3 linked regions of the Xenopus tropicalis genome follow. The protein of the gene in region 3 interacts with the protein of the main gene of each other region in a pairwise test. Links are inferred from orthologs where the notes say so. Each region holds a gene or a part of one and is shown on either strand. Other genes may lie near its edges. The genes, in order: sertad1, tsga10 and znf410.

The links.
Region 1: the proteins of znf410 (region 3) and sertad1 interact in binary tests that used the Homo sapiens proteins (3 or more experiments, as listed by UniProt). The two-hybrid records come from large-scale screens. The link is inferred for Xenopus tropicalis from reciprocal best matches to the Homo sapiens genes ZNF410 and SERTAD1.
Region 2: the proteins of znf410 (region 3) and tsga10 interact in binary tests that used the Homo sapiens proteins (3 or more experiments, as listed by UniProt). The two-hybrid records come from large-scale screens. The link is inferred for Xenopus tropicalis from reciprocal best matches to the Homo sapiens genes ZNF410 and TSGA10.

What each region holds. Positions count from the first base shown.
Region 1 is NC_030684.2:78,240,478-78,246,998, forward strand, and holds the end of sertad1 (SERTA domain-containing protein 1), read left to right. Parts: exon of another isoform or gene 1-1,130; intron 1,131-2,068; 5' UTR 2,069-2,072; coding exon 2,073-2,864; 3' UTR 2,865-4,247; downstream 4,248-6,521. UniProt on the Homo sapiens protein: Acts at E2F-responsive promoters as coregulator to integrate signals provided by PHD- and/or bromodomain-containing transcription factors. Stimulates E2F1/TFDP1 transcriptional activity.
Region 2 is NC_030678.2:112,846,671-112,853,989, forward strand, and holds part of tsga10 (testis-specific gene 10 protein), read left to right. Parts: intron 1-1,330; coding exon 1,331-1,481; intron 1,482-2,700; coding exon 2,701-2,876; intron 2,877-4,148; coding exon 4,149-4,304; intron 4,305-5,463; coding exon 5,464-5,637; intron 5,638-7,319. UniProt on the Homo sapiens protein: Plays a role in spermatogenesis. When overexpressed, prevents nuclear localization of HIF1A.
Region 3 is NC_030684.2:81,887,000-81,894,053, reverse strand, and holds the end of znf410 (zinc finger protein 410), read right to left. Parts: intron 6,407-7,054; coding exon 6,247-6,406; intron 5,314-6,246; coding exon 5,132-5,313; intron 5,053-5,131; coding exon 4,963-5,052; intron 4,885-4,962; coding exon 4,786-4,884; intron 3,594-4,785; coding exon 3,472-3,593; 3' UTR 3,006-3,471; downstream 1-3,005. Other genes in the region: protein FAM161B, read left to right, coding at 1,280-1,429. UniProt on the Homo sapiens protein: Transcription factor that binds to the sequence motif 5'-CATCCCATAATA-3', and is specifically required to silence expression of fetal hemoglobin in adult erythroid cells.

The sequences.
Region 1 (6,521 bases), about 3.6 Mb from region 3:
TATTAAGTTTACCACTGATTTTTATATGACATGGCGGTGGAGTCGTTAGGTACCAGTTCTATGGCACTTTTGACATCTGGAAGAAGGGCATTGAGGCTGAAAGCTTGGTCAGCGGATCTGGCATAAAAAAATAAACCTTTCACATAAATCCACAAGGGGGGGGACAAGAGCTCCGCTGTTAATGAGAGAGTGTCAGAAAATAATGTTCTGGGCAGAACAAAATATAATTCTTCTAAGGGCAGTACATATAAAAGGTACGGAAAATCAACTGGCGGATCTCCTCAGCAGAAGGCAATTGAACCAGAAGGAATGGGAATTGAATTCCCAAGTGTTTCATCAGATTGCGTAAATTTGGGGTTATCCCCAAGTCGACTTGATGGCGCCCAGACTCAACAGAAAGGTGGACATATTTTGTTTTCTGTCAAAGATGGACAACCCAGATTTTCTGGACGCCATGTCAGTTCTCTGGAAGTTCAGAATAGCATATGTGTTTCCCCTGATTGCGATGGTTCAGAGACTGGTGAGGAAGATCAGACAGGATCAAGCATCAGTACACGAAATTTATGGTCCTATCCAAAGGGAGATACTGGCAGCTTCCACAGAGGCCAGGTGGAACCTGGCAGCATGGTATTTGATAAAGAAAATTTGACAGATCATGGTCTTTCTCACGAAGTGATTCAAACTTTATTTCATTCACAGAAAGTATCTACATCAAAAGTGTACAATAAAGTTTGGAAAGTTATTAAACAGTGGTGTTCTAAAAGAGATATCCAGTCCAGTTTCTGCAATCCTTCGGTTTTTACAGGATGATTTCGATAAAGGTCTCAAACCAGTTAGAGGCTGAGTTTTAGAGGCAGTTCTTTAAGTCCCCCCATCCTTCTGTCTACATGCTAGATCCAATTGGTGTATGTGCTGCCTGAAGGGCTAAGGAAAAGAAAATATTTGTGCTTACCAAAATTTCCTTTTTCTTTCTAGTCCAAAAGGCAGCACAAGTATTTCCCTCCCAAATCTCATAAATCATCTCTGATTAATTGTATTGGCTGTCTTTTTCCTGTGCTACAAGGGTGGGAGTGGGACTAAACCCTTTGGTGTATGTGCTGCCTTTCGGACTAAAGAAAAATAAAATTTCGGTATGTATACATTTTTTCTCTATGCCTCTACCATTGATTATACGTTAATGCTGGAAGTTGTAATCCAGTCATATCTGGGTATACAAGGTTGAGAAACAGGATTATAAAAAATTAAGTTATTCTAAAGGTATCCTCATCATGTATCACAGGTGGCCCAAGTGCCTTTGTAAATTGCATAATTGTGTAAATTGTGTAATTGTAAATTGTGTCTGGAATACCATTAGGGCTAAATAATATGAAATGGACAAATAAATATGTGAACATGTTGCAAAAATTGCTAGTCCTACAGGGGTGCCTGTGCACACTAAATTTTCATGGGCCCGTTAATAGTAGGTTTCAAAACATAGACCTACTCTCTATATAAGTACCCATGGTAGTTGAAAAAAAAATCACACTGGTTCTGGTAAGCACACAGTAAGGAAGACGGAATACTAAATAGATGGATAACCTTAGGGACTACATTTCTATTAAAAAACTGCAAATACCATTGTTTTATAAATTTGAAAAATTGGGACCTGCAGATCTTGTCAGATAGACCTGTGAGCCACAATTAGGCCTTAACTTCCTACTAATTGATCCAATCTTTATGTAATTGGTCCTGATGAAGAACCAAGCTTGAGCTGAAATGTTGAATAAAAAATAATTTTGTTTTTCCACATTAAGACCTGTAAGTGATTGGTTCTGCTGTTTATTATAATATCTTATATCTTAAGTACTCATGCATCAGTTTGGCTTTCTTAAATCCCCTTCACTTTTTGCTACTGGAAGAAGCATGTCACACCTCAAAGGATGTCCCCTGAACTGACACCTGCTTTGTAAATATGCTGGTACTAAAGCAGTCTGAATATAATGTATGCAAAATGGCACAGTTATCTTTAGTGAGCACTACTACGTTTATTGCAAGATATATCTTACATATTCCTTTCTTTTTTTATTAGATCCATGTTGGCGAAAGGGATTAAACGAAAACATTCGGAGGTGGATGAAGGGATGGGGAGCAACCCTGATCCTGTGTTAGAAGGGGAGTGTCCATGTTCATTCCCTGCCATCCAGTCTCACTGTTTAATGAACATCTCTCTGGTGAAACTTCACCGTAGTCTTCACCATGTAGAGCCTGATCTGAGGCATCTTGTGTTGGTGGCTAACACGCTACGACGTCTTCAGGGCAACTTGCAGGTGGAGCCATGTGCTCCAGGTACGTGGAAAATCTCTGAGGAGTGCAGAAAAGAGTGTTCTCCTGCAGCGGGACCTGAGAACAAGAAGCCAGCCCTTGAAAACACAGAAGATCCACTCCTTTCCAGCATGGATGCCTCCTTATATTCTTCCATTTCTACCATACTCGAGGACTTAAATAACTTTGATGGACTGAGCAGCCCACCTCTTCCACAGGTTGAAGATGACCAGCTATGTGCCCCTAAAGTCAACCCAGTTTCAGTGAGTACAGAGGATATGATGAAACTGGCATCGTCCAGCTTTTTAAGTTCTTCACCATACCTTTTGGGGGACAACCTAGAGGACATATTTGAAGACATTGATACCTCAATGTATGACAGTGATCCTTGGGCGAGTAATAATCTTTTAAACTTTAAAACATTTTCAAATGTAGGTGATATTGAAGATAAGGATGGTGAAAGCACTGTTCTAGCACTTAGTGAATGGGACTATCTAATGGATGTTTTTGGTGAGAGCCAAGAACTGCTAACAACCTCTGCAGGTTCTTTCAGGACTCAATGAAATATCTTGCAACAAGACACTACTGTAAATAATGTGCACAATGGACATTAATTTATTTCCTAATAAACTGATCTCATAGTCTGAAGGCTTTATATTTATAGCCAGCAAAATGCAACTTTCAGGGAAGTAAAATATTAACATATTTTTAATGTAGAAGAATTTCCTAAACGATTGTGGTTTATTATCTAAAGAAAGGCATGTAATTTTCTTTCGGCACAAGGCCAGTGCAATTCAGTATGTGGAAGTTTAACATTATTTAAATCAGTTGATACATTAGGCAGTAATGTACATCTTCCCCTTCACTGGATGGAAATGCTCCAGTTTGGTTTGGTTATTTTGGGGGTGCTAAAGTGGAGTCTGAAATAAACCCTGACCAGTTTTTCTCCTCATCCCATAATAACTTGACAAATCTTTTGCGCCATTTTCCCAGCCTACAATTTTCTGTTAACTTATTTTATATTATGAAGGAGCTAATGCCATACAAGTTTGGATCACTGTAGTGTCCCTTTAAAAAAGTATTTTACAAACAGAACTAATTTAGAAAATGTAAGCTTTAGGTTTATTTTTTTTATAAAATATGTGAGTAAATAAGATATACAGAAATCAGATATTTTTTCTAAAATTAGAACATATCATGGACGTATGCCCTTGAAGAGTGTTTCAAAAATGACAGCTAACCTCACTTTTCTTGCTTGCAAACGGAGAATGCCCAAACACAAATCGCGCAGGCAACTGGCATCTTTGGTACATCTGGGATGCAGAATTGTATGTATGAAAATGCAAGGTTATCAAGCCATATTAATTACAGCTGTTCTAGTAGAACCTGTCAGATTTGTGAAAGAAAAGTTGTATCCATCATACATAATATACTACATTTTCTGAAGGTATGGCAGTACTGAGTTTTAGATCATACATCTAAAAGGTGTTTTATTGCATTTGTATTCTCAGCTTTGTATTCTCTGAGTAATTTTATTGATGAATTCCTGATAACCAATTTTGTAGTTACTAAAACATGCCGTTAAAGCTTTTTTTTCCTCCTGTACAGCTGGCAAACAGATGTTTTCTGCACACCAGGCCAGACCTTGTTTAACCTTATTTATGCAAATATGTATTCTGTATGTATAAAAGTTTTCTGAACTGAATGGTAACTACAGATAAATTATTCCCTGAAAGGTAACAGGGCTCAGGGTATTTTAAGATATTTAAAGGGCTGTTTATTACAGTCAATATTTAAATCTGAAAGCTTCAAAATCTGCAGATTGTATTTATTGCCATTTTGTGGCCAATATATTGATTTTCTAACTAATATTAATTTGTGGATTGGATTCATATTTATCCTTTGTGAATATTTATGATCAAAATAAAAAAAGGTTTCATAGCTGGTTTTTGGTGTTTTGCTTGCCAAGGAGAGAACAAAGGTGGAAACTCTTATTTACAGGAGGTAATTCTGGGATATATGTAACAGTTTACATTTAATATCTATGGAAAAGTTTGGATTGGGGATATGGACGTGACATGGAACATGGACATGTTACAAGCAGCTTGCTTTCTAGCTCTTTAGTAAGGGATTTCCTATGAATTTATCTTTTTAGTAACATTCCCCTTCTAATATCAAATGAAGGTTGCACTTTTTTCCAGAATATTGTATATTCTCTTGTTCGAAGACCTGTTTTAACAAATGAGCAGCAGGAACACCTGCCCATGTTCCAATAGCCTCCAATATGCTAAATGTTTACTGTAGAGTTGCAATGCACAGATTAAATGTTGCTCTTCTCTGTGCTGTCTGGAGAGTTATCTTTCATTTCTCTGATGCAATTATGGGATCTGTTCTACAGATCCATGTAGATCCAAACTGCAGAATGCAAAAGACCCTCTTTCTGGAAAACCCCAGGTCCCAACAGGTCCCATACGTGTACTGTATGTTGGCAATTCCTGTAATATACTTAAGCCAGAAAAAGTATGTACTTGTATACTGTTGTTGTATGTATGCATGTATATTTTTTTTTTCCATACCTGTAAAAATATGCCTGTACATGCTAAGCAACAGAGGGGATTTAGTTATTGTAACGAGTTTCTGTGAAGATTACCTTAAACTTCCTTGTCATGAATCTCAAATAGAAAAATGATACACGTATTGGCAAAATTGAGGCAAACAGTAGAATATGGTAGAATATGGTATTTAATGTTCTATATGATCTGGATTTTTGCTGAATCTCCCGTGTGCCTCGTTAAATTCTGGGTGTGCGTGCGCAGTAAACATTCATCGATGTCATTAGAAGCAGTTGGGCATGCGCGGGTAACAATTTTTGGCTTCAAAGCATAATTTGCGCGGGCATGTGATGTCATTTCCAGGCATCCAGAAAACTTTTGGTGGAGCAATCAAGCACACCACAAAATCCCCTGCATGTTGTTATTTAAAAGTTGACAACTCTGTATAATATATACTTATATCATATATGATAAGCTCTGACAAAATTAGACATTTAGTTTAATGAAGGCCTAGATTAGAAGGAAACAAAATCTATTTATTGGGTGCCTGAAAGCCAGTAGGGAGATGTCTTTCCTGAGCACAAAGTTAAATGGAGCACTGGCCATGGAGTAACAATAAATAGAAGACCCAGTGGCTCTGGGAGAAATTGTATTATAATGTGAGTGTTTTTTTTTTTGTTTTTTTACTGTGAAGCACAGGGGCTTTTATTTACACCCCTAAGATATGAAATAGGTGCTCTTGCACCCTTGTCTGTACCGTAGCTTAACCTTTGGGGTTTTCTATGATGGGAAACACAGTACCGTGAAATGGGAAAAGGCTGCTATTCTGTAGGAAGACTGCTTCATTCCCCCCACCCCTCCCAGCTGACATGAGTTAGAGTAAAGGAAAAGAACAAGACACTGTCCGTGCGCTGCCTGCTTCCTGCTGTTGGTTTTCAAACGTGTAGGAGAGAGTCCTCCCCCACCCTGCACTCAGGATGTCACTGCATGCCTTTTATGGGTTCAGAGAGCTGAGGCAGAGGCGTGGTGCTGGCTTGTTCTCCCTACCAAAGGCTGGAGACACACAGACGTGCTTCGAATTCTTCATAGGACACTTTTTTTAATATCCGCTCATAGCCCCTGATGTCATTCTTACTTAATTTTCTTTTTCTCTTTCATTGCTAGAGACATCAGCTACAGAACTCAGCTGCATGTATGAGGGAAGAACAATCATGTTAATATGTCTGAATTCTTACTTCTAATAAAACAAAAATATGAAAGCCTAAAGTAAAGCTGATATTTCTAACATTTGTACATGTGGTGGTTGGTGGGAGTGAGTTATAGAATATATGACAACTGACATGGTTTTAAAGGCAAATTGGACAGTGGAACACAGTGTTGGACTGGCCCACAGGGATACCAGTTAAACTCCCAATAGGCCCAGGTGTCAGGCCCTCCTGCCTCTAACCATTTGGCCTAATTTATGGTCATTTCCTATTTATCTATGGGAACAAAGAGACTTAATATAAAGAAAAATAGATTATAGTATGTAAAGGTAAAAGACTAGGAAAATATAGAGGTTGAGTGAGGAGTGGATGAAAAATAGTTTGACAAGTGGGCCCATGGTCTAAGATTTGGTCATCCCAGTCCGACACTGGTGGAACATATTACACTGATGTTTCTACCACA
Region 2 (7,319 bases), on a different chromosome or scaffold from region 3:
TTTTTAAAAATTATTTCCTTTTTCTCTGTAATAGTAAAACAGTAGCTTGTACTTGATGGCAACTAAGATATAGTTAATCCCTATTGGTGGCAAAATGAACCAATTCAGTTTAATTAATGTTTACATTATTTTTTAGTAGTTAAGGTAAGGAGATCCAAATTACAAAAAGATCCCTTATCTGGAAAACCCAAGTGTCATATCTCAGAGAGACTCTGTGGACTGGCAAGCAGTTAAAGGAAAAGTAACACTAAAATTTTTTAAGTAAAAAATCTATTCTACCCTGCTCCAATAATTGCCCTATCCTGCAAACCATTTAGTATTTTGAATGCTTTATTAAAAAATACCTGCTAAAACTTGGCTTCCGGTCATTTCAAATAAAGTGATACGGCGAAGGAAGGAGCAGCATCCACTATGCCACGATCGATTGATCGAGCCTAGCCTTCCTTCTGTAGGAAAGAGTCAGGCTAGGCTCGATCAATCGATCGTTGCATAGTGGATGCTGCTTCTTCCTTCGCCATATCACCTTATTTCAAATGACCGGAAGCCAAGTTTTAGCAGGTATTTTCTAATAAAGCATTCAAAATAATAAATGGTGTGCAGGATAGAGCAATTATTGGTGCAGGGTAGAATAGATAGAATGTTAGTGTTACTTTTCCTTTAAGAGCCTAAAGGCTAGATAAGACAGCTGGCAAGACAAAGTCAAGGAAAAGGCCAAAGGTAAAACCAGGAGATCCGCAAGGACAGGCACTGGAGATCAGGAACTAGGCAAGGGGAAAGAAACCAGGCAGGGACTCAGCAACAAGGAATCAGATAGGGTCTCAGAAACAAGGAATCAGGTAGGGTGTCAGGAAAAAAGAAATCACTAGATGCACAGGTTGGCAAGATCCTAGCTAAACAGCTTAATGACCAAGCGGGAGGAATACATGAGGTACATCAAGAAAATCAAACAGCAGAAGTACTCCAGGGGCACCATTGGGTGTCCACTGGCAGTCCAAAGAGTACTTAGGTCTCGAGCATTCTTGTTAACAGGTCCCATACCTGTGTTTTCAGAATTGCTTTAATCACACACTAATTATGTTTGCAGTACTGTATTGGAGCAATAGAATAGTAATTTAATTTTCTTTCCCTTCTGTCTTTTTTCTAGCTGGATGATGTTAGTATAAAAAGTTTTTGTTGTTTTGTATGCTTCGAAAACTTGCAGTTTGTTACATCAGGAGGAGAAGAAAATTTGCTTTTAATTTGTGTTTCTGCAATTATTTTGATATCCTTCATTTTGCATAGTTCATAGCTGATGTATGATGATGTTCTGAAATGGTATTTTGCAATTCAGGATGCAAGCCTTACTAAAGAACAACTTGAGCATGCAGAAGTTGCACTCAAAGAAAAACAGGATGAGAACAGGACCCTAAATGTTCTCGTAGACCAGCTTCAAGATGATCAAAACAGACTACGCAAAAAGATTGAAAAGCACGAGAGATCAGGTAACTTCCTATGAAATGACACTAGAGTTATATATTATATTTCTGGTGGCAAGCTATGAGAAGATTAATTAAAGAGATTGAAGGGAGGCAGAGAATATGATATTCGAAGAGTAGAGTAACAGCTTTTTACTGTGGCCCGTTGACCAATGGCAGCAATGTCTAACTATTGCTGTTGGTATAAATCAGGGCTGTCCAACTTGAGGCCTGCAGTCCGATTGTGGCTCTCTAAGGTATTTTTAAGGCACCCTGTTCACCTATGAGCTTTATTGTCTGCTGTGTATGACATCATTATTTATATGTGAGCAAATGCCTCCTCAGGGGCCAGAAAAAACGCACATCAGGTCAAGTGTGGACATGGCTAATTCTAATTACAATGGGAATCTAAGCTAATAGAGGCAATTTTTGAATTAATTTTCTTCTTGCAAGACTACATTCAAGCCAGACTAAATCATAGGCAGGGACAAAGGTCTGTTGGGTAGCATTTGTGCATTTCTTTCAAGTGGCCTACCCCTGGTTTATGGCTATAGCAGTAAGATGGAGTAAGTAGGAGGTGGAATGATTGCTTGGCATACAGATCTGTAATAGTTGTAGACTTGAGGACTGAGTTTGGTGCAATTAGTAATTGTTTCTCTTTGTTCAGTAGTTGTTACCAATCTCCTTTCTCTGACATATGATACTCTCATTAACCTAGAGAATTATAAGTTACATTTAGTAACTTAGTTTGTTAATTTTGTATTAATGTAGACCCACCAAGCTATGGTAATTATTTAATTGAAGTCAGCTATATTGCCTAATGTAACCCTGTGACTTCCACAGTCTTTTTGTTTAAGCTTTTTTGGTTCTAACATAAATTGGATGATCATGGCTCCTTAGTAATAATCACTCTGTGAAATGATAACTTCCTTAATTCTGCTGATTTTCAAGTGTTTTTTGTTGTTTTCCCTCTCATTTCATTTTGTTATTACAATGAAAATCATGTTTTAATTTTCAAATTAGATTCTAATCTTTTTGCGCCTATTTGGTGAATGGAAGCGTGCAACTGGTGCTGTAAAGATTGTATTTCTCTTTTTCCTTTTATTTAGTTTTGACAGTGCAATTCACTTTCTTTGGATATTAAAGGAGAATCAAACCCTTGCACTCATGCTGTACAAGGGGTAATACTGACCCTAAAGGTTTTTTAATCTTTTAAGTGGAGGACAATATTTTTCCTTGTTAACAGAAAAGAACACAGTCTTAGCATGTGAGAAGAGTAATGCTATGGCTCCTTCTAGACTTGACTCCTTCATCAAATCATTGGAAGAGGAACGAGATCACTATAAAAGGGAAGCAGAAAATCTGAGGAAAACCCTGCGACGTCAGAGTCTTAGTCCCAAGCGAGCTAATACCAATACCCAGGTTGGCAACAATGTTAAAAACCCTTATCCACATACATTGTTATGTATTAATTTGTAAATAACAAGAATTAGATTGCTTCCTTTGGAGACCATCCAAAATATTAAAGGAGACATATCATATAAAAATTAAGAATGTACCAGTGAATCATACTCCTCTAGATATAGAAGGATTGTGGCTAATAAAGTTGTGTTTCGGACTGATTTATTGAGAAATTCCACCAAAACCCCACTAGCCCCGCCCATCTGTTCCACTTCCTGCTGGCTGAATTCTCTGGATGTGCAGGGGAGCCGGCGGCCCTCGGTACAGTGCACTGTAGGATAGGAACCAATCAGCAGCTAGGCTGACCTAATAGGCTACTGAAGACTGTCTTTGCTTGTGTGAGTGCAAGGCTGTGATTGGTTATCCCCCTCCTGCTGTGCTTCTGGCAGGGACCGTTAGGAAATGCCCACCCCGGACAGAGAAGGGTCTATAGGGAGCTCAAATAATGGGGCCATTTGTACAGATAGGATTAATATTTAGCCCAAAGTGAAACCAGCACCATATATTATTCATAATTGCCTACAAATTTAGGGGTTTTCCATTTATCCAATATGTTTCCTGTAAAACTTTTTAGAAAACATTGTGCTTGCTTCATGCGCGCACCTATTTTTTGCAGAGTCAGTAAAAGTAATTTGTGCAGGAAGGCAAAGGTTGCCATACTGCTGTAACTTATAGCAACCACATTGACAGTTCGCTTAACTAGACGTTTTAAAACAAATAAACACACAACATTATCTGTGTTTTTGTAAAACCCTTTAATGTTGGTCTCTCACATATGATATGATAGGTGGAATTTTCCCACCCCAAAATCCTTATTGCACCCTAGTCAATAAGATGGTGTGGGGGAATGCAGTCTTATTTTAGCTTATAGCAATTATACATTACATGACATATTTTGTAATACAGGTATGAGACCTATTATTGTTAAGTCTACTAAAAAATCATTTGAACATTCATTAAACCCAATAGGATTGATTTTGCACCAAAAAGGATTAATTATATATTGGTTGGGATCAAGTACAAGGTGCTGTTTTATTATTACAAAGAAAAGGGAAATCATTTTTAAATATTGTAATTATTTAACTAAAATGGAGTCTATGGCAGATGGCCTTTCCATAATTCTGAGCTTTTTGGATAATGGGTTTCAGGATAATGGATACTATACCTGTACTAGTATTTATTTCAGTCCTGTCTTTTGTGCTCCTAGTTTACCCTCTGTTGTATGTATTCCAGTTGTTACAGTTAGAGTCAGAACTCAAGAAGACCCTTCGGGAACGAGATGAGTTGCAAACAATGCTAGAGAAATATGAGCGTCACATGGCAGAAATTCAAGCGAATGTAAAAGTACTGACATCAGACCGGGACAAAGCCAACATGCTTTACGATCGGGTAACTACTGTGTATGACTATAAAAAAGTAATGCCTGGAACAATAAGACACCATTAGAACTTTTATAATTCAGGGTCCTTTATTTTGCTGAAGAAGGAAATGTTTATACTGCACTAAAAAAGGAAGGAATGTTTATACTGCACTAAAAAAATTCTCAGTGAAATCAGCTGAATGGTTTCTTGATTAAATATGTATGGTTACATTTCATTCTATAGTAGGTTAAGATTAGTAAGATAATATATGAAGATGTAGAATGATTGGTGGTGCTGAACTCAGTTCAGTTTTTAAATTTTGCGGATCAAGGAAAATTTGACTGGCATTTAAACTTTATAAATAAAGGCCATCTGGGTGCACTTCTAGTGTTCACAAACTTAAATCATGATAATTCTTGGATATCTGATGAAACCTATTTTATGAGGTACATTTAATAGGGTCATCTGTTAATGAATTGCAGATATGCTATACTGCCCACATTTTATATAATATTCACAGCAGCACTGGATGATTGGCAATGCTGGTTACACATGTTTCAATATTGTAATCACAAGCTGGTCATTTCTTGTGATGGAAGTGTAGGGTTATTATCGAGTGATAACATTAAAGTCAGTTAGGAATACCAGACCAACAAATGGTGCAATTAAGTATATGTTTTGGTTTATTTGCAAACCATGAGCTGCACAGCATAGTTATTCAACTGGGCAGCCAGGTGTAACTAGATCAGTCCAAAATAGTGTTTGATAACAAATCTCAAAATATGCAAACATTGGGCCCTGTTAGAAGATGACACTGGTCCAATTAGAAAATCAGCACTCTTTGTAATCTATCCTTCAGTCAGTTCTCTGTCCAACTACAGATATTATGTTCCAGGCCATTATTCCTTCATGTACTATTGCACATAATACAGTTTTCAGGTTGAGAACGGGATCCCTCTTAAAAAATGGCACCACATTAGCAATTCGCCAATCTCTTGGCACCATGCCAGATATATACTAGAAAATTAAGTACAGATGTTTGGCAATCATAGAGCTAAGCTTTTTTTTTGTACCCTGGGATGAATACCATCCAGTCCTGGATTGCTGAAAGAAAAGCAAAGTTCCAGGAAAGTGGCGTCCTTTAACTGGTTAAAAAATGCATTTTAACATGCAGCATTGTACATCAGGCACAGCAGGAGATAACACAGCTTCGAAGAGAATTCCTACGATCTCCTAAGACTCCCAAATCCAGTGTAACAGCACAAGCCATACTGCAGCGTGTGGAAAATGAACGTGACATTGCAACATCAGATTTACGAAGAATGACCACAGAACGAGATAGTTTAAGGGAGCGGTTAAAGGTATGCAACCATAAACTAACAAATTCATCTATATTGCCAAAAAATTAAAGACATATTCAGATTCTGACTGTCCTTATGTTCTTAGAAATATCATTGTCCATTTATGTAACATATTGTTTGAATGTGATATTGAATTAGTGAGAACAAAAACAAATGGATACAAGAAATAACAAAAATACTTGTATTAATCATCTCATATGTTATAGTTTTTTTATTTAATAAACATACTGACAGACATGCATGCCTATTATCATAAAATGTATCATATAGCTATATACCAGTGCATACTGTATGCAACCAGCCTATAGTACAACATCCTTCAACAAGCATATAGTACTAGACATGTTACTTAAGGAATGCCTCCTACATAGGCACATATTGGTATCCTAATCACCAAAATAGTTCTTACTTGTATAAAGAAGAAGCATATGCTCTGTAGTAACCCTGCTAGTAAAGTTTAGTGCTATGCTTGACAAAAGGTAAGTAGTGAATCCTTCCCCGAACATCAATAACAGGGCTGGAATTTTTCTGGTCTATGCAATAAAGGGCCAATAAGCCAGTGTTGACCATCCCCATTTTTTAAACCACACCTATGTTATCACAAAATTTTAAGACAGTATCCTCATTAATGGTGGTAGCACACCAAAAAAGGTAAATGGCAGCCACATATAGGCAGCGTAAGGTATGCAGAGTATGACACACATACAGAGCATTGGGCAGCCAGAGTATGGCAGACACAGACAGCATAAGGCAAGCAGAGTATGGCACGCACAGGCAAGATAGGGCAGGCAGAGAATGGCACACACAGGCAGTGTAGAGCAGGGCAGGCACAGGCAGCGTAGAGCAGGAGACAGAGAAACCTAGAAGTACCACGTAATTAACCAGTCAGGACTTGATTGGTCTGAGTCTAACGTGTGAACAATGTGGGGGCTTACAGACATGGACAATGCTGGGTCTTTCAGTCTGAGTCTAAGATGTGAACAATGCAGGGCCTTACAGGCTTGAACAATGCAGGGGCAAAGTCGCTAAACAGTTGATTGATGTGATTATCCAGCCCTCGGGCTAAACAATTTTATCAACATCTGGCTGATTTGTGCCCAGATATCGGTCGGCAGGCCTGTCTGAGGGTCCCACACAAAAGACAATAAGCTGACAACTTTGTCCTTCAGCAGCTTTTAGAGGCCTTTGTATCGCCTCATTTACAGTCTGAATCTGAGGGGTGAACAGTGCAGGAGCCAGTTAAGTACTAATACCTCTTAAAGCAGTCACAGCACCCATATGTTAATTCAGGGGACAGGACTGCCAGTTGGACAGCACAGATCTATAGGAATACAGTGATCTGAACTCAAATCAATGGCATGGGTAAGAGATATCCATTGTTTGGTGAATCCAGCACAAAGAAAAGCGTACCTACTGTTCTTTAGGGCAATGAAACACAGTGAGATTTGTTGCTACTGCGGGTAAGAAATCTCCCCGAAAATGCCTTAATCTTAGCTAACATTGCAGCAAGTAAATTATATATTATTTCCCAACTTTGAGACTAATGTCCAGGGGACTACAGCTGATTAATTCCTGATGTTAGGTATGGGAAGCTCTTGTCTCATAATTTACACGAATACTAAAAAACACACATTTTCCAGTGATATTTGCTTTAGGCTAATGAAATGCGGGGCCGATTCTCA
Region 3 (7,054 bases):
TGAGCTGGCAACAACTGGATCCAGGGGAATGGTCGCTGAAGTCAGAAGTCTTTGACAGATGGGCCTCCCAGAAGTCAACCTCATGTCTTCCAAGCTCAACCACAAACTCCTCCGCTTCTTTGCCCTTGTGAGGGGCCCTCAAGTGGAGGCTGTAGATGCCATAACCCCCCCTGGGCCTTCAGGCTTGATGACTTCCTCCAGTCATCAGAAAGATCAAAAGGGATTGGGTCTGAGCAATTCTAATTGCTCCCTACTGGCCCCGCCAGACCTGGTTTTCAGACCTCCTAACAATGATACAAGACAATCCTTGGACTCTTCCGTTGACCCTTGACCTTCTGACTCAATGCCCTTTCCAGCACCCCAATCTTGGTGTGCTTCATTTAATGGCATGGTTTTTGAATCCTTAGATGCAAGGGGTTTAAAGTGATTAAAACTCTAGCTTTTTCCTTGCAAGCATAACTGAGCAGTAAGTACCTTATGGGTATTCAGGAGCCAGGCATCATTGGATCAGCTCTGCAAAGCTGCTACTGGTCCTCCATCCATTCCTTTACTGAGTTCTGCTTTATTATTTTTACCGCAGAGGATGCTTGCTTTGGCAGGAAGGTCCTCAAGGAGGCAGTGACCTAAACAAGTCCTCACTTCTGTCCACCTCTATTCTTGGGGGATGGCTTTGGTATGTCCCAACAGTGCCCCCCAAATAGACATTAGAGAAAAGGAGATTTTGTGAATCTCTTTATCTCCAGTCACTTGGGGGGCCACAGGACTTCCCTCCCTCAGAATTGATCCTACACTACTGCCTTCTTTCTCAATCTGTATATAGTTTTATATTCATGTTTAACTGCATGTCCTTCTTTGTTCTGTCATATATTGGAAGCATAGTTTCTGTTAGTTTAGTATCCTGTAAAGAGCAGTTAAAGGGATACAAAGAAATGGCATGCGATGAAATTTCCATGCAGCAGGTTTAAGACACTGGGAGGTTCTCTTGGGCTAAAGCTAAATTCTGTTCCATCATTTATTTATACACCTAGGTGGGAATTTTCTTTGTACTGATTTAAAAGCATGGTATTAATTGTGAGTTGCATTTCACCCTGCAAAATCAGCAGCATCAATCATTTTAAAATTTCTAAACTAACAAACAGTGTAATAAAGTTCAGTGGTGTAACTAAGCCCTACAGGAGATGTTTAAGTATCCTATCCTCTCAAAGATTAAAATTATACTGTTTTTTTGTCTGCGCTATTAAAACCAAGCATCAACTCTCCACTATTTCCTCCTTTTTAGAGAAATGCAGTGAAGAAGGTAGAGCAGAAATTTAAATGCACATTGCAAGAGGCTGGGATAACAGAGGAGTTTGTGCAACATAAAGGAGGAGTCCATGAAAATGCAACTAAAAAGGAATCAATCCAAGAAGAAACCTGGGAGGAACACTAGCAGGTAACTGCCAAATACTTCATATATTATTTCCAGAACTAGGTTTTCATGCTAATTATGTTGCATTAGTCTCATAGGGGAATGCAATTAAAGCAACAACAAAAAAATACGTTTTTTAAAGTCAAAATATTCAAATATAATGTACTGTTGCCCTGCAGTGGTAAAAGTTTATATAAAGAAGTTGCTGTATAGCCAAGGGGGCAGCCATTCAAGCTGTAGAAAAGGCAAAGGTTATATATCAGCTATTAGAGAATCTCTGAATACAATAGTGTTTTACATAGCTTATGCATTATCTGTAATGTAACCTGTGCAATTTAGCATTTAGCCCTATTTCAGTTTGAATAGCTACCCCAATGGCTACACAGCAGCCTATTTATATAAACTATAGAAGTGTTTCTGAAGCAAACACAACAGTTTTACCAGTGCAGGGCAACAGTACATAAGATTTAATTACTTTGATACATTTTTGGTATAACTGTTCCTTAAATGTTGTTAGATTTATAAGTCTTGATTTATTCATATTGTTTGATGCATTTCCTTATGTAAGTAATGAACTTATATCACATTGCATATATATATGCTTTTGAATAAATACTTCTCTTTTCTAACCAATTGTTTATATTTTTTACAGTTAGAATCAAACTCTATAACTAGCCAATAAATTATCCTCTTTCTGAATTGCATATGAGATGCCAGTACTTACTGATGTGATTCATTAATAATTATTGTTGTTACAGAATTGCTGACTGCAGAGCTTGACTGTTTAAAAAATTCAGCAGAAAGATGAAATTCATTAAGAAGTGGTTTGCTGTTTAGGAATTCATATTTGTGAACTTATCTATATTGTTAAAAATGCATTAATTAACTACATGTTGCTGACACAAGTAATTTACTATAAAGTTAGAGGTTGTTCTAAAGCAGTGTCTTGTACTTTTTTGGGGTTCAGGCCCCAGTTTGAGAATCAACAACTTGTCAAGGCTCCCGCCAAATAGATAACTGGCTGGTTATCAGGAAGATACATATTAAATAGGCTGTTGAGGACAGACTATGCATAGGAAGATAAGACAGCAACTTGGTCTGAAGGGCCTGAATCAGCCTATGTATGGCTTAAGACTGCAATGGAAAAATCGTCTGGTCTTTTTACATCAAAAAGGAAAAATCGTCTGGTCTTTTTACATCAAAAAACAAACAGTTACAGCAAACTGAAGCCAAACTAAATCCGAATTAACATATGCTAATTAGGTTACGGAAATTTCCAACTTCAGTGTTTATATGACAAAAAGTCACGTGATTTTTAGGATTCGGTTTGGCCAGGAAAATGGCCATTATATAATTACACATCAGAGAATATAGTCTTTTTGTGCCTACTGAATTGGCTTTCATTTTTTTTTTTTAAATATTCTCTAACTGATCATATCCCTTGGACACTATTAGCCACAAAACTGTTACAAGTGAATACCCCTTCCCACTTCTATCCTGAGATATTCAATTCACATGTAATTTCACACTATATAGGTATACCAGAAACAAAGCTCTCAGGGTTTTACTAAATATCAATAAACCGATTAACTAAATCTGCAGTTTAACAGTTTATTTTTCATTGTGCAGTTTAATGAGCCCTTCTATTGGATGGTTTGCAGTTTATGAATCTGAATATAAATTAAAGGAGAAGGTGTGATTGCACAGTTTGGGAGCAGGGCCCTGTGTGTGCAACCAAAAGTTTACACACAAAACTATGTCCTTGTACTTTAGAAATAGTACCAACTGAGGCAAAACCCAAAGACGAAAATCCAAGCTGGAAACTTATTTCAGCCACAGAATCAACTTGCACTGAATGATAAGTACCATGCTTTTTCTGCTTCAGGGTCTTATTTTCATATAATCCAGGCTCGTTTTTCCACATTGTCTCTGCAGGCAAGTTCATTTTTTGCCAATGAAACATAATTTGCTTATACTTTGTTCTTAAGAGACGGAATACTTGTAATCCCACAAAGACCAACAAAAATGCTTGTAATGAACAAAAGTCGTCTAAATAAATGGGTTCAGTTCAACAAAATGGACACATCCTCTTCATATGACTGTCTTTCCGATCCCACAGAAAGCAGATGGGAATGTTGCAGAGTCTCTTGCACAGTGTGTGTACAGTGGGATGAGGTACTTTGGTCTGTAGAACAACAAAACCATGAACATAAACAGTTAAAATCCTTGGATCATTGTCACTTTATGGCCTCCAACAGGCCTAATAAAGCACATGTCTAGGCATCTTTCAGTAGCCCCTCTGGAGTCCACCAGAACATTCATATTCCCAGTGTGGGCTGTTACAGGTATAGCATGTTGTCATATATGAAACAATATTCACTGAATGGTCAATAAGAAATAACCCTTAAAGGACATGTAATCCCCACACACAAAAATTTAATCAGTGAACAGCCTCTTTGAAATATTTCAATACCTGCCACACTGGTTGTCCAGATGCTAATAGTAAGGCTACAACATCCCTTAATCACTTAGATTTCCTTCTCCTCCTGTAACCCACTCAGCCCCATCCCTCAGGAATTTGCTTTGGCTGTTGGCTTGTGGGCATGCTCAGTTGTTCTCAGCTCAGATTACCAAACGCCCTCCAGTCTAGCAGTCAGTAAAGAGATGGCATTGATGGTTCCCATAGAAACTCAGCTCTAGCTGTCTGCTTCAATTTTTTTCTCCTAACTTCCTCTCCTGAGCTCAGCTCAAACAAAGCAGAACTTTTATCAGACAGTTCAGCCTGTGTGAGCCTGTATTCTTGATGAAAAATATGCTGAATAAGGGTCTGTGAGTGTGTGTGTGTATGCTGTTTGAGATTTAAATGTATCTAATGTATCAGAGGAAAAACGGCAGGGGGATATATGCAGTACAAATAATGCCATTAAGGCGGGGGAGATATTTCCTATATTGTATTAAATAGATCAGTACCTTTTATATTTTTCACTGTTTAATAATAGTAATACAATGCTTGTATTTGATTTAAACCATAGTACCTTTAATTTATCATGGAACTCATAATTTCTTTAACACGTTTCAACTAAAATGTGAGATCAGAAGTGATACGATATTTGTTATTAGAGAGTTATAAAGCACAAAGTGATGTCTACCCTAAAATACACCACTCATTCTGCTGTTCATTGGTGGAACGCTACACAAAAAAAATACTAAGTTCCCTAATTTCTGCCACAATAGCAGCAATGCAATCAGATACAAATTAGATGCCATATTCTTATCCTTGATTTATACTGCCTGTTTAAAACCTTTCCCTACAGTAATACTCGGATGGCTAAAAATAATAAAAAAGGACAAGCCCTGTTTTCAACGCATCCACTTACCATCAATGCTCCTCGAGTGATGTTTTCTTAGATGGGCATTTCTGCTCCCACTCTGAGAGAAAGTTTTACCACACACAGGGCACTGATGAGATTTTACCCCTGAAAAACAAGATTAAGATCTTAAACACAAGAATCAATGCTGCAATACTGGATGCTAAAGAAAATAAATTAAGGTACCTGAATGGACAACCTGGTGTTTCCGAAGACTTGAATATTCTGCAAAAGAGCGTCCACACCCCTCCATCTCACAGAGAAATGGTTTCTCTCCTGCAGAAACATATGTGCAGGGGTTAAAAAAAATATTTCCTTATATCTATTCCAGGTCTGTAGAAACAGGCACACACACCAGTATGGATACGGAGGTGATTCTTCAGGTTCCCTGCTGTGGTGAACTGTTTCCCGCAGCCTGGCTCTGAACAAAGGAAAGGCTTTTCCCCATTGTGAGTGCGCATGTGAACTTTCAGTCTTTGTAAGACATAGAATCTCTTCCCACAACCTTCTGACGGGCAAGCAAAAGAACGGTCATTTCTAAAAATTAAAAAAGAAGCACAAGCAAAGTTGGATACATTTCTTTTAACAGCCATAACATAATCACTGGCAAATATAACCACCAGTACATGGTAGTGCAATGGTAAACACTGCTGCCTTGCCTGTAGTACTGGGTTCAGTGTCAGGAAGGGCACTATCTACTAGGATTTTGTATGTTCTCCCTGTGCTTGCATGAGTTTCTAATAAAATTGTCCATAATGTGTGTAAAGTTGATGGGTACCTTGGACTGTAAGTACCACTGGGGCAGAGACTACAGAGATTATATATCATTCATTTTAAAGTATGCAGGCTACACAGGCAATACATGAATAATTCATAATAATTAGAATAATAACCAGCCCTTTGGCTGCCCGGTGTGGGTATGGAGATACAAGAAAAACAATTCAACTGGTCCATCTCACTCGCTACATTACCAAGTGACTCTATATTCAAGGTAGCCTAGTGTCATAACAGGTACTGCGGAAATTTGTAGCACATCTACCAATAAGTATATAGAAATCCTCTTATTTTAAGTTACTGACAATAATTCCACCTCATTCTGTGTCACAGTGCTTGCCTGACAGGATTACTAATCCTCCAACAAGAATTCACTACTTCCTTTTTACCACAGTGTGTAGCCCCCTGTTTAAAAAGTTTGAGGACCCCTGTTTTAAATTATGAGTTACTCTTTTGGCACACTCAATGCCACAGCTTACAGCATTCTATTGTTCATACAGTCTGCCCTCTAAGGCTTTGGAGGAGTGGGTTGCGGGGTAAAGCCTGGACACTGGACAGCAAAGGGGAACTTAAAACCTCAACATTTTAAAACTTTTATCCTTCACCAAGAGGGGGAAGATTACCTTACTACATTATTTTGATTGCATTTATACTTGAAGTAGCATGTCTTTGAGAAATACCATAGAAACAACCCACCTATGAGTTTTCAGGTGGTAACGGAGGTGTGTGGGATACACAAAAGACCTGTCACAGCCTTGGAAAGAGCAATGCAGTCGTTTCTCTCGAGGGGACTGGTTTGGTGGAGGAAGGGAAGTTCGTGACTCTGTTTCTGTAAAACTGCTCAGAGCTGTTTCTCCTAGAACAATAAGAGCAAATAAAATAACTAATTCTATATAACAAAAAATAGAAGCAATCTTTTGTTAATGTTTCCATCTGTTTTCAGACTTGCTGAGGATTATGGTTAGTAATTTACTGAACCTAGCTGTGTATCACCATCAATGACTTGATTCAGGATGAATGCAACCATCTCAGTGAATTGCTTACTAAACATGATCTGTGCAAATAAGTGTGTGTAAGCATACCTGCCCTTCATTTGCCCAGTAAAAGGGGATTTTCTTACTGGTAAACCCTTTCTCTTAGGTCCATACTGTCAGTGCAGAGGTATAAGAAGCTATAAAGTTATTGTTTTTTTTGTCCTGCCTTCAGGGGTGTACAGGTTTAACCCCATACATTTGCACTGACAGGACAGGCAGCCTACAGAAAGGATATTACCACTTACCTCTTTTCAAGTAGGTAGAAATTGCTGCAACTACATTAACTTCCAAATAAGTTTGTATAAACATAAACCCAGAAATAACATAAAATACATTTTGCCTGAGAAAATAAAGGCCATGGGTCATTTTGCACTCTATTAGGCTGATAACACACCAGGAGTGCTCCAGGACATTTTTGAAAACTACAGATTTAACAAACTATACCTAAGTGTAACACTAGAATAACAAGG